4 linked regions of the Neodiprion lecontei genome follow. The protein of the gene in region 1 purifies or fractionates together with the protein of each later gene. This does not show direct contact. Links are inferred from orthologs where the notes say so. Each region holds a gene or a part of one and is shown in the gene's direction. Other genes may lie near its edges.

What was found.
Region 2: the proteins of proteasome assembly chaperone 2 (region 1) and proteasome maturation protein purify together in Homo sapiens (co-immunoprecipitation; 6 studies listed by BioGRID and IntAct, counting the BioPlex papers as one, with this or other methods). This does not show direct contact. The link is inferred for Neodiprion lecontei from reciprocal best matches to the Homo sapiens genes PSMG2 and POMP.
Region 3: the proteins of proteasome assembly chaperone 2 (region 1) and proteasome assembly chaperone 4 purify together in Homo sapiens (affinity purification with mass spectrometry; 3 studies listed by BioGRID and IntAct, counting the BioPlex papers as one, with this or other methods). This does not show direct contact. The link is inferred for Neodiprion lecontei from reciprocal best matches to the Homo sapiens genes PSMG2 and PSMG4.
Region 4: the proteins of proteasome assembly chaperone 2 (region 1) and proteasome subunit alpha type-4 purify together in Homo sapiens (affinity purification with mass spectrometry; 4 studies listed by BioGRID and IntAct, with this or other methods). This does not show direct contact. The link is inferred for Neodiprion lecontei from reciprocal best matches to the Homo sapiens genes PSMG2 and PSMA4.

What each region holds. Positions count from the first base shown.
Region 1 is NC_060265.1:30,903,011-30,906,540, forward strand, and holds proteasome assembly chaperone 2, read left to right. Parts: upstream 1-1,925; 5' UTR 1,926-2,110; coding exon 2,111-2,443; intron 2,444-2,505; coding exon 2,506-2,928; 3' UTR 2,929-3,026; downstream 3,027-3,530. Other genes in the region: spermine oxidase, read right to left, coding at 1-177, 313-526, 725-989, 1,177-1,336; translocon-associated protein subunit delta, read right to left, coding at 3,274-3,530. UniProt on the Homo sapiens protein: Chaperone protein which promotes assembly of the 20S proteasome as part of a heterodimer with PSMG1.
Region 2 is NC_060265.1:6,326,092-6,329,628, forward strand, and holds proteasome maturation protein, read left to right. Parts: upstream 1-1,591; 5' UTR 1,592-1,746; coding exon 1,747-1,749; intron 1,750-2,112; coding exon 2,113-2,210; intron 2,211-2,340; coding exon 2,341-2,401; intron 2,402-2,481; coding exon 2,482-2,657; intron 2,658-2,768; coding exon 2,769-2,856; 3' UTR 2,857-2,955; downstream 2,956-3,537. Other genes in the region: 2-oxo-4-hydroxy-4-carboxy-5-ureidoimidazoline decarboxylase, read right to left, coding at 3,180-3,366, 3,452-3,537. UniProt on the Homo sapiens protein: Molecular chaperone essential for the assembly of standard proteasomes and immunoproteasomes. Degraded after completion of proteasome maturation. Mediates the association of 20S preproteasome with the endoplasmic reticulum.
Region 3 is NC_060260.1:21,227,674-21,230,286, reverse strand, and holds proteasome assembly chaperone 4, read left to right. Parts: upstream 1-1,666; coding exon 1,667-2,059; downstream 2,060-2,613. UniProt on the Homo sapiens protein: Chaperone protein which promotes assembly of the 20S proteasome.
Region 4 is NC_060264.1:7,960,668-7,964,516, forward strand, and holds proteasome subunit alpha type-4, read left to right. Parts: upstream 1-1,728; 5' UTR 1,729-1,859; coding exon 1,860-1,862; intron 1,863-2,230; coding exon 2,231-2,858; intron 2,859-3,014; coding exon 3,015-3,157; 3' UTR 3,158-3,292; downstream 3,293-3,849. Other genes in the region: endoplasmic reticulum metallopeptidase 1, read right to left, coding at 3,803-3,849. UniProt on the Homo sapiens protein: Component of the 20S core proteasome complex involved in the proteolytic degradation of most intracellular proteins. This complex plays numerous essential roles within the cell by associating with different regulatory particles.

The sequences.
Region 1 (3,530 bases):
TTCTTTCAGTACACCAAGCGAGGGTGTAAAAATAACATGATCAGCATTATGCTCCGAGTTGTCAGTAGTTCTAATAGTAATTCGATTTTTACTGCTATAGTCAATACTTGAAACTACTTTCTTGAAGTCCACTTTTTCCAGAAGTGGTAGCTCACTTGCCGCTGGTGTAAACTTGTTCTGTAAGTCGCAAGGAAAAAAATAATTGTTGTTAGGATTTTGCAAGTACCTGAGAATACCGAATAAAATTGAGATTCTATTTTGTACTGATTCAATGATGGAAAATGTTATTGAATCTCATTCTGAAATCATTACCATTAAAACTTCAAACAGAGTTTTATATCCCCTGCCTTTCCAATTAAGCAATGGATTCCCTTCACATGTCCAATACTCGGCAAGTCCGGATGCAGAAACTTCGGACCACGAATCGCAAGATTCTATGATAGATTCATACTTGCATATCCACTCCAAAAATTCTTCTGCCCTGGTGAAATTTGTAAATGGATTTTCCTTGAATGCCTTGTAATACCTGAAAGTAGAATTTATAAGATAAACATAGGCAAGAACTTATAGACTATTTCAGTTATGTGATTTTAAAAGAGAACAAGTGAAAGAATTACCAGCACCTTACACAAAACTTGAAAAACTTGTAACGAAGAGAGAACCCTGTACTTTTTAATGAAAACTTAATCGAACATTCAACTACTCTAGAAGTTATGATACTAACTCTTGTGTGAAATATTCTCCGAATGACCCCTCGAAATCTGTTATCTTGTTTGGCATAACTGTGTAGATTTCATGATATATATTCAGTAGCTCAGTACTTTGTTCTCTAGGTATGATTTCTCCTTGAGAATCAGCAAACATCCACTTTTCAGTATTGGTCAGAAGGTTAGATCCCTCCAAAAGATTGTGGCGAGATGCCAATTCATAGGATATATTTCCACGCTCACCGTGCACATATTCAGCTCCTAGCTCTACCACGTTATCAGCTACCATAGTAAAGGAAAACATATGTATTATTAATAAAGGTCCATCAGGCCTCTTCTAGCTGTTATCACTTGATTAGTTTCATAACTGCTCTAATTCATTATAAGCTGCACTTATTGTTAGCTTGGCATGAATAGTTATTTAAATGAATATACAATGGAAAAAATTAGTCGTTAGTTGAAACACAGCCAATGTACGCACCGAATTCTACGGTATGTACGCGCCCTCCGATTCGATCTCCGGCTTCAAAAACTCTGACATTTTGAAAACCTTGCTCCAGCAGACGGCATGCCGCGGCGATACCAGCAGCGCCGGCTCCAACAATTAAAACTTGCACATCTTTAAACATTTTTCGGCAAGTAGCGTGGCCAATATCTTAAACACCACTTTATTGGAAATGGATAGACTTTGTATACTACTTTCGGAGTTTACTGGAGGTTTCCAACTACAACGGTAAAACTGATGTGTTGGCTGACTAGTTCTCTATCTGGCTAGATTGCTGTCAGGATTAATAGGGTCAAAACTTGGAATGGTGATAAAACAAACACAAGCAATAGAAAGATATCGTCGTCGCGTCATTTTTAGCACTATCAATTATATCATATAATATAGTATGTATATATCAGTGGCTTATAGTGAGCGTATAATGAGCGTATTCCGAAATTTGATTGCGCACGGGTGATATTTCGCAATGTTTCGAAACGAGTTAAGCTTGGGCGTCCGAAGTGTATCCAACATTTCAACGGGCGTATGGAATGAAAGAATAGGATATATATAATGAAATTGCTTGAGCGGTATCAGTCTCCAGATTGTGGAGATTTTGTAACCTGGTAACGCTGATACATTTTTGACTTTAACTTTCTTACATCTATTTTTTCAAAGAAAAAAAAAATGATGTAAGTAGAACGACAATAACTGTTTGCGAGAACAGGCACGAAAATCCTTTTCGGTACGTGCGTTCTGAAACATCACTAGCACGTGAGATCCAACATCCAGTTCAACATTCTACGTGTGTTAGGTAAGCTATGGTACAGTCGATGTAAGCTGAATCCAGCTTGTCATTACGGTTTGTCTAACGTACAGCTTATGTTTACTAAACAGAAGGTTAATTCTATAAGGGAAGATGATAAAACTTACAGAAGATATTGATTTGACGGGATACACGCTCATTATTCCTTCAGTAGCTGTAGGAAATGTTGGACAATTGGCTGTTGATCTTTTTATATCGAGCCTTAGCGCAAAGAGAATAGGTTATGTTTGGGATTCTGCATTCATACCTATAGTTGGCCCTGATCCGTACGACGAAAATTCGTCAGCCCTTTGCACAGCCGTTGATTTATTTTGTAGCACAGATAAAAGAGTTCTACTAATTCAAATAAGATCACCACTGTCCAAGAAGCCCTTTCTATTCTTTAAAAAGCTGCAGAACTTCATCACAGAAAAACACGTTGCCAAGGTAAGATTTTTGGTCACATTACATATTTGTAACAAATTCAATCGACGTATTTTCAATCATAGGTCATCATATTGACCAGCAGCTACTCCCATGAAAAACGAGATCAACAGATCAGAACCATTCCGTTACGTTACATTGCATCTCCGGAAATAAAATCAGAATTTGGTGCAATGTTCGACAGCCTGAACTGGACACATCTAGAAAGTAAAATTGATGAATATGGCAGGAGCGAAGTCCTTGCAATCCCAGGTGGAGGTTTTGCCAAAAACCTATATGATATCTTTGTCGAGAACCATATTCCTTGTGCGGTCTTACTCAGATTTTGTTCAGAAGGAGACAACATCCCAGATGCAATGGAGTTAGCTAACTACTTAAATCAGTGGCTAGAACTTTTCTCAAAGGACGCCTCTGGTAATTTATTAATCAGAAAACCTTCGTCTTGGAGATTCTTATTTGGCAATGATCCTCCACTCGAAATGTTCTGAATATGATATTAATTATCATGAGTTTTTTTTTTTTGTTTATATCAATGAATCATGTTCATTAAATTCTTAATAAAAAATTATTATCAGCTAAATTGTAATTGTATTTCCTGTTTATTCGCCTATGTAAAAGTGAACAACGTAGAAGCTAGGGATTAGAATTGATAAAGTAATGAATTTTATTCAGTCACAGTTTTGGTTCTCCAGGAGAATCATTGATTGATCGTTCGATATTGGATACATTGATATTTTACAAAACTATTTGAATCCAATTAACGGTTTAGTATAAATAGTGAAGCCGGAGGCAGTTAAAAATATCATTCATGACTTAAATTGTAATTACTTAGTTTACGATAACAGCTTCCATTTGGCAGAGAATGCTGTGTATGTAACAAATGCAGCTAAGAATGCAGCTAAGAGTTCAGAGTTTATCCATGGTCCAAGGTAAGCACCTGGGTTGTTGAGGACAACAACAGCTAGAGGTTTCACACTGCTCGGATCTTCTCCGTTTCTAATTGCTTTGCGAAGGGCACTGTACCCTTCTTCATCGTACAGATTAACATTGTAATCTCCTGATCTAGCTTTCTTTATATCCTCCGTCCAGC
Region 2 (3,537 bases), about 25 Mb from region 1:
TTTTTCTATCTACCGGCCTGTAAATCAGGGTATCTTTGATATATGGCTGAAAAACGACGAAGCTGTGATAGAAAATCCCAGTTTGTTTCAGGATTGCTTTGTGAGTATTTCTCTGAGAGGACTCTCCCTCCCTGTCTGTTATTTGAATCTAATGAATAATAATATTTAAGAGAACCGAACATAAAGTACGCTCGGTGCGGTGAAGCCTTGTACTAAATGACTCTCTGCCAATTGCTAGCCCACTTCTTACTAGTGAGTACGGCACTCGGGCAGTGAACCGTGCATAGACAAACCACGGCACCGCAAGTGACAGTTTTATCTAAAATTGGATTCTTCCGAACTTCTTGCTGCAAGTCGATACTCATTGTCAGTATACGATTCTTCATTCCTCATCTTATCGCATTTTCCTGCAACGTTCTAATTCTATATTTATACTGCGCATTCTATCATTACGAAATAATTGTCATGCAAAAACGCAAGAGGCGACCATTTACAAATTGCCGAATGTTATTGGTATACTCATGTATCAGGTATGCCAAGAGATTATCTTGAAAGTTCACAGTTGGTCACGAACTCTCTGTTCGCACCACTCAAGTTTTCAGTTTGTTTATCGCAGGCTGGCCATCCCATCTTTAATTTCAAACTGTGAAAAGCCGTAAAATGATTGCATCGATGACGACGACGATTACATTGTCATTTTATTTACGGGGAATTCCCTGTCAAAACAAAAATGTCGACGATTATGTTTCCGTTTTATTTACGAGGCATTTCCTGTCAAAATATAATCGTCGTCGTCGTCGATGCAATCATTTTACGGCCTTTCACAGTTTGAAATTAAAGATGGGATGGCCAGCCTGCGAGAAACAAACGACGAATTTGAGTAGTGCCGAGTCGGCGGTGAGCAACTGCGAACTTTCAGGATAATCTCTTGGTGTGAAAAATATAGTAAGTTTTGAATCGATTTAGAACTTTTGACATCTGTTAATGGTGATCTGAATTATGTAATTCGATCAATCAATTTTCGAACATAATATGAAAAATGAACCGATCATTAGATTTGAAAAAATATGCAGCACATATTCAGTTCTCACGCTTATGTGATTAGTATTCTATATCCTGCGTATCTGCAGTTATTAAAATTAAAATGCGTGAATAAATGTTCTGTTCTATTTTTCTTCCAGTGAAACTCGTATGCCTCTTCAACGTCAGGTCTGAAAAGATGCACGTACGAAAGCTGCGTCTAATGAATGGAACGACCTATAGAAGGTAAAAAAAATTCTAAAGTTATTTTCTGGTCATTTAAGGTGCAGTACATTTGTATGTGAATTTTTTGTCCAGAGCTGCGATTAATTCACGCGAATCAATCGCGCCTTTAGCGCGTCAATTTTGCGAACGTCACACGAAAATCGTATTTATAGTCAGAAATATAAATCTCGAATAGTAGCAATTCATTATGTGGCAAATGTAATTTGCATTGTCAGCTAAGTTCGTGATTGTAAATAAAGGTTAGTTGTTGACAATGGTTTTTACTTACCACCACGAATCTCGGCAAATGAGTTTCAAAAGTTTGTTGCCAGAGGGCGTTTTCACGCCTCAACTCAGCTAACTTCACACCATTACCGCTCATTTCGCGATCAGTGCTCGTGTATAGCGTGTTATATTTCACCGCGGCTCTTCGTCAAGTCACGAGCGAACGAAATATTATTAAATAAGCAACCCCAGAAGCTGTTTGAAAAGTAATTCAATATGGTAAGACTAACTCCATCATTTTATTATATATTTGCGATACTTTAATATTTTTCTCCACGTGATTATTCGGCCAGTTCGTCGAATTTCTCGAACGTGACATTTGCAATATTTTTATTAAGGTTATGTTTACCCTCGTATTAATGACAAGTGCATCTTTTCTACATCGATGAATAAGTACTGAAGCTTTGTTTAATACGCTGTGATCCTATGTGAATATATCGTTAATAAGAAATCTAGCCGCCTGTTTCATTTCACGATTCGCATTTTTCTGTCATTTAAAACGTCCATAGTTACGAATTAGGTTAGGCGAAATTATCCTTCAACAGCAAATCAACAAATTTCTGCTCACACTTTTCCGCTCAGAGTTTTGGTCTACCTTCCGTGAAACCCAAGCCCTCGGCTGCAGATATAATCAGCATCCCCGACGACACGCATGGTGTTCCAAATGCACTTGTTTCAGGGTAAGTCACAATCAAGTATAAAGATATTTGTCATTGTTCCATTGGTTGATTTTCATCAGTATTCGCTTTTCGCCGTATAACAACTTTCTCAAAAAGAAGGAGAATAGTTGAATGAAATTTAATTGCACAGGCTATCTTCAACAAGAGCAAATCTTGGATTTTCACATCCTCTGCAAGCCTCCGAGCAAAACGTAAGTCGTAGTCAGACTGACTATTGCTTCTTTATACTAAGGCATTTACAGTTTTCACATCTTTTTATTCTGATCTCCAGTATGTGCAGAATAAATTGCGCATGGATATGGTTATGCTGAGAAACACGCAAGGACTTCACGCGCCAATGCGTCTAGCCATGGAGCTCAAAGCCGCTGACAAAGTTGGGAGACTACCGTTTCTTCCATCTTCTGGCCTCATGCGGGATGTTATTCTTGGTAGAGACGAAGAAATTGGGTAAGAGCTCTGATGACTGTGGATCACGGACCAAAAACAACGCAGCTTTGGATCTGAATGGAATTTTATCTTGCGTCAAACAAGTGACGACATTAATTTTACAATTCACAGATTCGAAGACATCTTCAACAACGCTGAATTTAGGGAACAAATGTGTCAGCCTCACGCGATGGTTGAAAAGAGTTTGGGAATTCTCTAAACATCGATTGGATCCTTATTTTTAAGCTTGTAATATCATAATTTGCACTCTGTTATTGTGCTCAATGGCAAAGGCAATTAATGAATACTTTTTTCAATATCTGTGCATTTCTTTTTATTTGATATTTACGAATGAATCCTCGTTTGCATGATTAAAAAATTTCGTCAAATTGTCGAACAGTGGCTTACGCAGATACTTAAGAATAAATATCAATTAATCACGTTACATGTATGTAAGATTTTTAATCCGCATATTATCTCCGAGCAGAAAAAGTAAAAATTGTCCATGTGTATGAGACAAGTGAACAAATTACTTTAACAAATTTATCGAGCATCCGACCAGACGACGTCTAGCAGGCGAATCCTGCATATCTTTTTGACTTCTTGAATCCCGACCTCAAGTTCCGTCTCGGGAGAATTGTTCAAACGATTTTCTATGCCGCTCAGAATCGCTGCCACTTTATTTTCCCGGGCACATATGACAAATGGAAAGTGAAATTTTTCCTTGTACCTGAAATTTCAAACAACGTATCGACCTTTTTTTTCCCTCGTGTAGCAACTGAACAAGATATTTTAAAATTGGCGTTTTTACTCACATGGCATTGAGATTCGCTAACGTTTGTTTTTCTTCTCGCGTCATCTCGTCGAGTCCTGCACACTTTTGTTCGTTCTGTGATTCGGT
Region 3 (2,613 bases), on another chromosome or scaffold:
GAGCAGAAAAAAATTGTTAGAGAGTTAATATTTTAATTGATATTAAATAATTATTCAATGTGCGATTTCCCCTAGGATTAGAGCACTTCCGGTGTGCGCATTGTGTGTGCGCACTGTATATGCACAACATGTCTGCGCAGTGCATCTGAAATCAGCTGTAGCGACCGAGATTGACGAAGAAATACGAGTTTCGAGGATGCGGATTATCGTAAATCGAACGGGTACGAGATGGACATGGAGACGAAGCTGAGCAATTTTCTCTCAATGACACCAATGGTAAGAGAAAAATTGAATGAAACTATTGGAAAAAGACACGAGCGTCGAAAACGGGAAACTTGGCGAAATCTTTTTAACGCAGTGCAACAGAAAGTGAAATCTTTTATAGAACGCCAAAATTAATATTTACTTGCAGATAAGGAATAATGCACTCATAATTGGGAGAAACGTGGAATGTCGATGGGCTTATAATATATGTCAGCGATGTTCCTGTTCGTCTATCCCAAGATTTTTGTGTTCTCAGATCTTTCAAATCTTGGACCGTGCTCGAAACGTTATTTTTTTTAGTTCTCACCATATCACGTATCGTTTCCCTGTGTTTATAACCCCTGAATTCCCACAAGCTTCAATATTTGTTCACAACTCGACGATGTTTGGCAAGATCATTGAAAAAACGTCGGATAAATTTATTACACGACTTTATTCCAAAAGTTCTTTCGCTCTTTGAACATTATTGCTCTCGTTGGAATGTTGCTCAATTTTTTGAAGGATTAATTGATTTTGTTACTGGAGAAGACACGATGAAACAGAAACGCCAGTTTCTTCGGCGCAGAACACTCACGACCAGCCTCCAGCTGATTTTAGATACACTGCGCACGTACACCGCGCATATCCATGGCGCAGGCCGGAAGCACTCGGAAACTAGGGGAAATCATGGGGAAATCAATCACTCAATAATTATGGAATATCAATTAAAATATTAACTCTCTAACAGTTTTTTTCCACTCTCAAATCCTCTCAAACGATTCTCAAAAGATTAAAAAAAAATTAAACGTCTAAGTCCATTTTTTGAGGAGATAGAAAATATGGGGGCCCACTTCACACCCAAAATTAAAATCAATTTTCCGGAAAAACTACTAACTCTCAAACGATTTTTCTTTACTCTCAAACCCTCTCAAACGATTCTCAAACGAATTGCATTAATTAGATTTAAAAATAATAACTTCGGGGGGCCAACTTCACGGAGGTAAATGGAAGCATCCATTGTCATACGAAACTTTTGGCGCATCCTCATTAATTTTTTTGCCCACGCGTGTCTTTACTTGTCTAATCTAGGGACCTTGCACCGTGAGAGAAACCTATAGCGCCATAGTTGGCGGAGCGCGAAACAAACTCAATCTCAATAAACATAACATAACCCATGACCGTCGAATCTAACCTTATAGACTTGTGACGTGTCATTGTTGTTGACAAGTCCTTCGTTAACTTGGCATATAACGTTCCAGTACATTTTCCGAACGTTCCGAAATGCTCTACATGCGCTAGCACACGTTTCGAAATAGGTTCTTTATTTTTTAGTTTGTCTCATCGTGCCCTCTGGGTTAATTTTCTGTAAAAAAGCAGTTTCTGTACTTCGAAATATTACATTTTTTCACGGATGGATAGGACAATGGCCGAACCGAAAAACATTGACCCTGAATTAGTGACGTGTAGTTTTAAATGCCACAATATCTTGACTATAGTTGGTGACATCAAAATAAGCTGTCAGATGATAAAAATGAAAGACAGCTACTATATTTGGGTTGGTGATATTGTCGACAGCGTAATGAACGACCTTTCCCTAGCTTTGATCTCTGATTACGAGAAGGTACCAATTTCCACAAAGCTGATGGGATCTGCTATTGATTCGACATCCATCAACATGGCTGCAAGACTGGCAACGAAACTGGGGAAACCAGTTTATATTAGCTTCAACATCAAGGCTGACAAGTTGTCGATACCAGCAATAGAAAAGAAACTTTCACAGGAAATAAGCAATAGCCTTGCCCTTCTTGAGAAATAAAGCAACTGATCAATATCTTCCAGTACTAATTCTCAAATTCTATCATGCCACTACTTGGGTAAATCAAGTGGTTATATGGTATCTGATAAAAATCCATGATACAATAAAGACTTTCGGAAGTGAAATGTTGAACAATAATTCTCATTTAGTTTGGAAATCGACCATCTTCTAATAACATGTTTACCGTTCCTAAAATATCATTCATACTTATTCTTGGTTTGTCTGAAATAATTCTATTATAACAAGTTTGGTAGTCATCTCAATTGATTTGCAATCGTGTCTCAATTTGCAATCAGTGATGTATGTGAAAATTGATAAAAGTTGTAATGAATCCTAGAAATAAAATACATACACCTTCGTTTGTATTTAAAATTTCGTTTGGTTATATAAGCTCAATTTCAAGCATATTTCGTCGTTTTCTGATTATCTTTTAACATGTAAACCAAAGTGTTGCTTAAACAGTGAATACCATATATATATTTTTCACTTGTGCGTTGTTTTTTAATCAGCTTACTTTAACTCACTTATTTTAAACTTTCTCAGGCCTGGCAGAT
Region 4 (3,849 bases), on another chromosome or scaffold:
CAAGAATATTTCAAACTAACGATGAAGATGGGCGAATTTTTCAATCAGACGAAGCAGTCATTGGAGAAAACGTTATTTTCTTGATTTTTAAAGCAATGATTGAAAACAGATAATCAGAAATCTAAATTACTGGGACAATTTCTTTACACTTCCGTACTTGATCCTTTTGCACTATCAGAGGCTAGCCAAACAATTACTTAAATTCCTAGAATTTTTTCAGGACCGTACATTTAGCGTACGGTCGAGCAACTGGATCATCGTATGTTCGTACAGGTGCATGGCAAAATTACCGTTATTAGTCCGGTAGCCCGTTGCACTTTTCGACGAATCATCTAATAATATTTCAAGGGTGTGACTTTGCCCTACAGTACTTGACACAGGGTCTGATAACCTTCCATACTTGGCTGCAAACGGCGTACAAGGTTGCCTGTACTCCTGCGTGAAAGTGTATGCGATGCTCGTTTTAGATAATCAATGAGATAACGTGATGATTCTTCGATAGTGCAATCGAGTGTCTCTCATTGAATGACATTATAGCGTTGAGAAGCCTACCTCCAAACTCGTAGAATTCCTTCCTTTTCGACAAATGGATTGACACGTAAGAGTTTACTCTTCGCAGCGAGTGGTCTCGTTTGATTGAGCTCATTAATTTCTCTCGAAAGTGTTGTTTTTTGTATCAGTCGAATAATCAATCGATGAGCTCTCTCTATATATTACAACGAATCATTGGATATTGCTTACGGTACAAAATGAATCTACAGCAAAAGGGTCCGTTTACGGTTTTGGAACTTATACTTTTAGGCATCGTCGAAAGTATTTTGAGAGCGCCGACCGGGGTACAGCAGACCTTTCTAAACCCAAAATATTCCCCATGCCTTCGGTTATAAAATTAATGGTTTTGCAAGTAATAATGAGGGTGCGGCTTCGTACAGGCTGGTTGTGTTGATTAAGCACTTCGATGACCGCGGTGATAAGGTCACTTTTGTACTTGAATTGGTGACTAACGTAATGAGTTGCGATTTCCCGTTTGGATTTTCTACCTGCTCAAGTCATAAGGACTCTGTCGCGGGCGTATATTATAGTCTTGGGCTGCATGGTTGTCGGCATTTGTAAACGGACTCCCTGCTGTGACTGCCTGAGTCCTCTTGAATTGTTTGTGCAGAAAGCTATGATGACGCTTGTTGTATTTATGGCAACTGTTTTCCGATTTACAATCGCTAGTATTGTGACCCTGAGAGAGGCAATTGTAACAAAGATTCGCGTGTGCAACAGTCCTTACGCATTCTTCTATTGATAATTTGTGGAAGGTTGAGCAAATATAGATTGCATGTGATGCAGAACAAATAGGGCACTTCAGATTTGTATTTGTCGCAAATGTCTGTACCTGCGGTTGATTTTTTGATTTAGTAAGTTGGTAAAAACAGATGGCGTATTCCTTTGCAGCCGTGGATATTCCCTGAGAATAATCCAATGACGTCGGAGCGTTCGTCGTATGCATTCAAATTTCTTCTTCTTTCGAATGGATAGCGCTACCGTTGACTGAAGAATATTCTTCAGTCGACGAATATGTCAACATTAACATTAACGTTTCTACGTACTTACATGTGTTTAAAATTTTCCGCAATTCGGTTCGTTAGAAAATGGCGGTCAAAATGGAGGCGATCGAGTGGACTCCGATACTACTGCCATCTAGCTACAAATTATGAAAGCTTGATTCAAACACAAATCTCCGTATCGTATAGTTTATGTATAATTCAGAGTTGCCTGTGAGTTTTGGGCCGGCCGTCAAACTTGATTTTCAGTGTGTTACTCTCATTTAATTGCTACACTTTTTGGTAGTTTTGAATAAGTTTGACAAAATGGTGAGCATAAAATTATTCATTTCATCAAAGTACCCGCAAACGACTATAGACTTATTTTCTAATTAATTAAATAATGTAAACTTCTGTACTCTGAACAGAAATAGGTTAGAATACCTCTATTGATGCATTGTCATCCATACAATTATCCCATCTAATTCTAATAAAAATTTCCCATAGCTCCAGATATATCCAACTCAGTATTAATTGTTACGAAAATATTCACCCTTCTAATTGAGAAAAGGCTACTAGGCGAAAATAAACCGTGGCAACAATGCGACTAATTGACGCATCGTCATGCCGACTGTAATCCAAAACTCAGAACGTACAAACTTAATTCATTCTTAACAATTTCTTGATTTTCTGATCAGGCTCGCCGGTATGATACCAGGACAACTATATTCTCGCCAGAGGGTCGGCTATACCAGGTGGAATATGCAATGGAAGCTATAAGTCACGCTGGTACTTGTTTAGGAATTCTGGCCAATGACGGAATCTTACTAGCCGCAGAAAGAAGGAACACCAACAAGCTGTTGGATGAAGTATTTTTCTCAGAAAAAATCTATAAACTAAATGAGGATATGGTTTGCTCCGTTGCTGGAGTTACGTCTGATGCAAACGTTCTCACTAACGAGCTCCGCTTAATCGGTCAAAGATATCTTCTTCAATACGGTGAAGCCATTCCTTGTGAGCAACTGGTTTCTTGGCTTTGTGATGTCAAACAAGCTTACACTCAGTACGGAGGTAAAAGACCGTTCGGAGTTTCCATACTCTACATGGGCTGGGATCGGCATTACGGATATCAGCTCTACCAGTCAGATCCTAGTGGCAATTACAGCGGGTGGAAAGCTACCTGTATTGGTAACAATTCGGCAGCAGCTGTATCTTCTCTTAAACAGGAATATCAGGAGGGAGAAACTACTCTGAAAGATGCGATGGCTCTTGCGATTAAAGTTCTCTCAAAAACTCTAGATATGACTAAACTCTCCTCTGACAAAGGTCAGTTGAAGATTCTTAATTGTCCAATTTTCCAAACTTGTATCTAAATAGTATATTTAACGATGTTACCTAATTTTTTATAAAGAATAAGTACCTATTTGGATCGGTGGAGGGAGCAAAAACTGCTCATTCTCCATTATTGTATCATTGTTGTAGTTGAGATGGCAACTCTAACTCGCGAAGATGGAAAAACAAAGACCCGTATTCTACCAGCATCTGAAGTGGAGGCATTGATTGCTGAACACGATCGACTAGAAGCAATTGCTGAACAGGCAAAGAAGGAAAAGCAAAAACTGTAAAATATCAACAAACTATCGAATTTTTATTACTTATTAATTCATAATGAATAATGATTATTTGCTTAAGTGAACATGAGCATCTGGCGTAAGTGATAAATAGCTTACATTTCGAATAAAAATGAATTACAAAAAGCATTCCTTTTCTCTTATAATTGTACACGTTGCTACACGTCGTGCTTATAACAGTCGTTCATTCATTCTTCGTAACGTCTTTTGAGAATAACAAGGTAATTCAGCATCTTTTTGAGAATCTATCTAGCGATGTAACATTCGTCCTATTTAACAGGAATGGGGACTGATCCTATCAAAAGATAGTGTCAAAACTTTTTAATGTTATGTGGTGGTTGCATCCCCTAAACCTTTGATTCAGACTAAATATCCGGCATACAGACTCACATTTATACTGGTATGAAACAATCATATCTCTTACCATTAACACTGAAATTTCTCACGTACTGAGCTATCACGACCTTCTCTATTCCGGAAAAGTTGTCCCGAAATCACAATAAAGTCTTGTCTTTTCAAGTTAAGTTTAAAGCTTCATGTCAAGTCGTGTACTTCTAGTTAATTAAACTATATTTGAGTTGTGTTCTCAGGCCCCAGTTAAATAAAAAAACCAGTAACTAAAATAAAACTTTCTTTTCTCTAAAAAATGTAAGATTTGTAAGTTGATGACCAATGGAGCGGAGCAA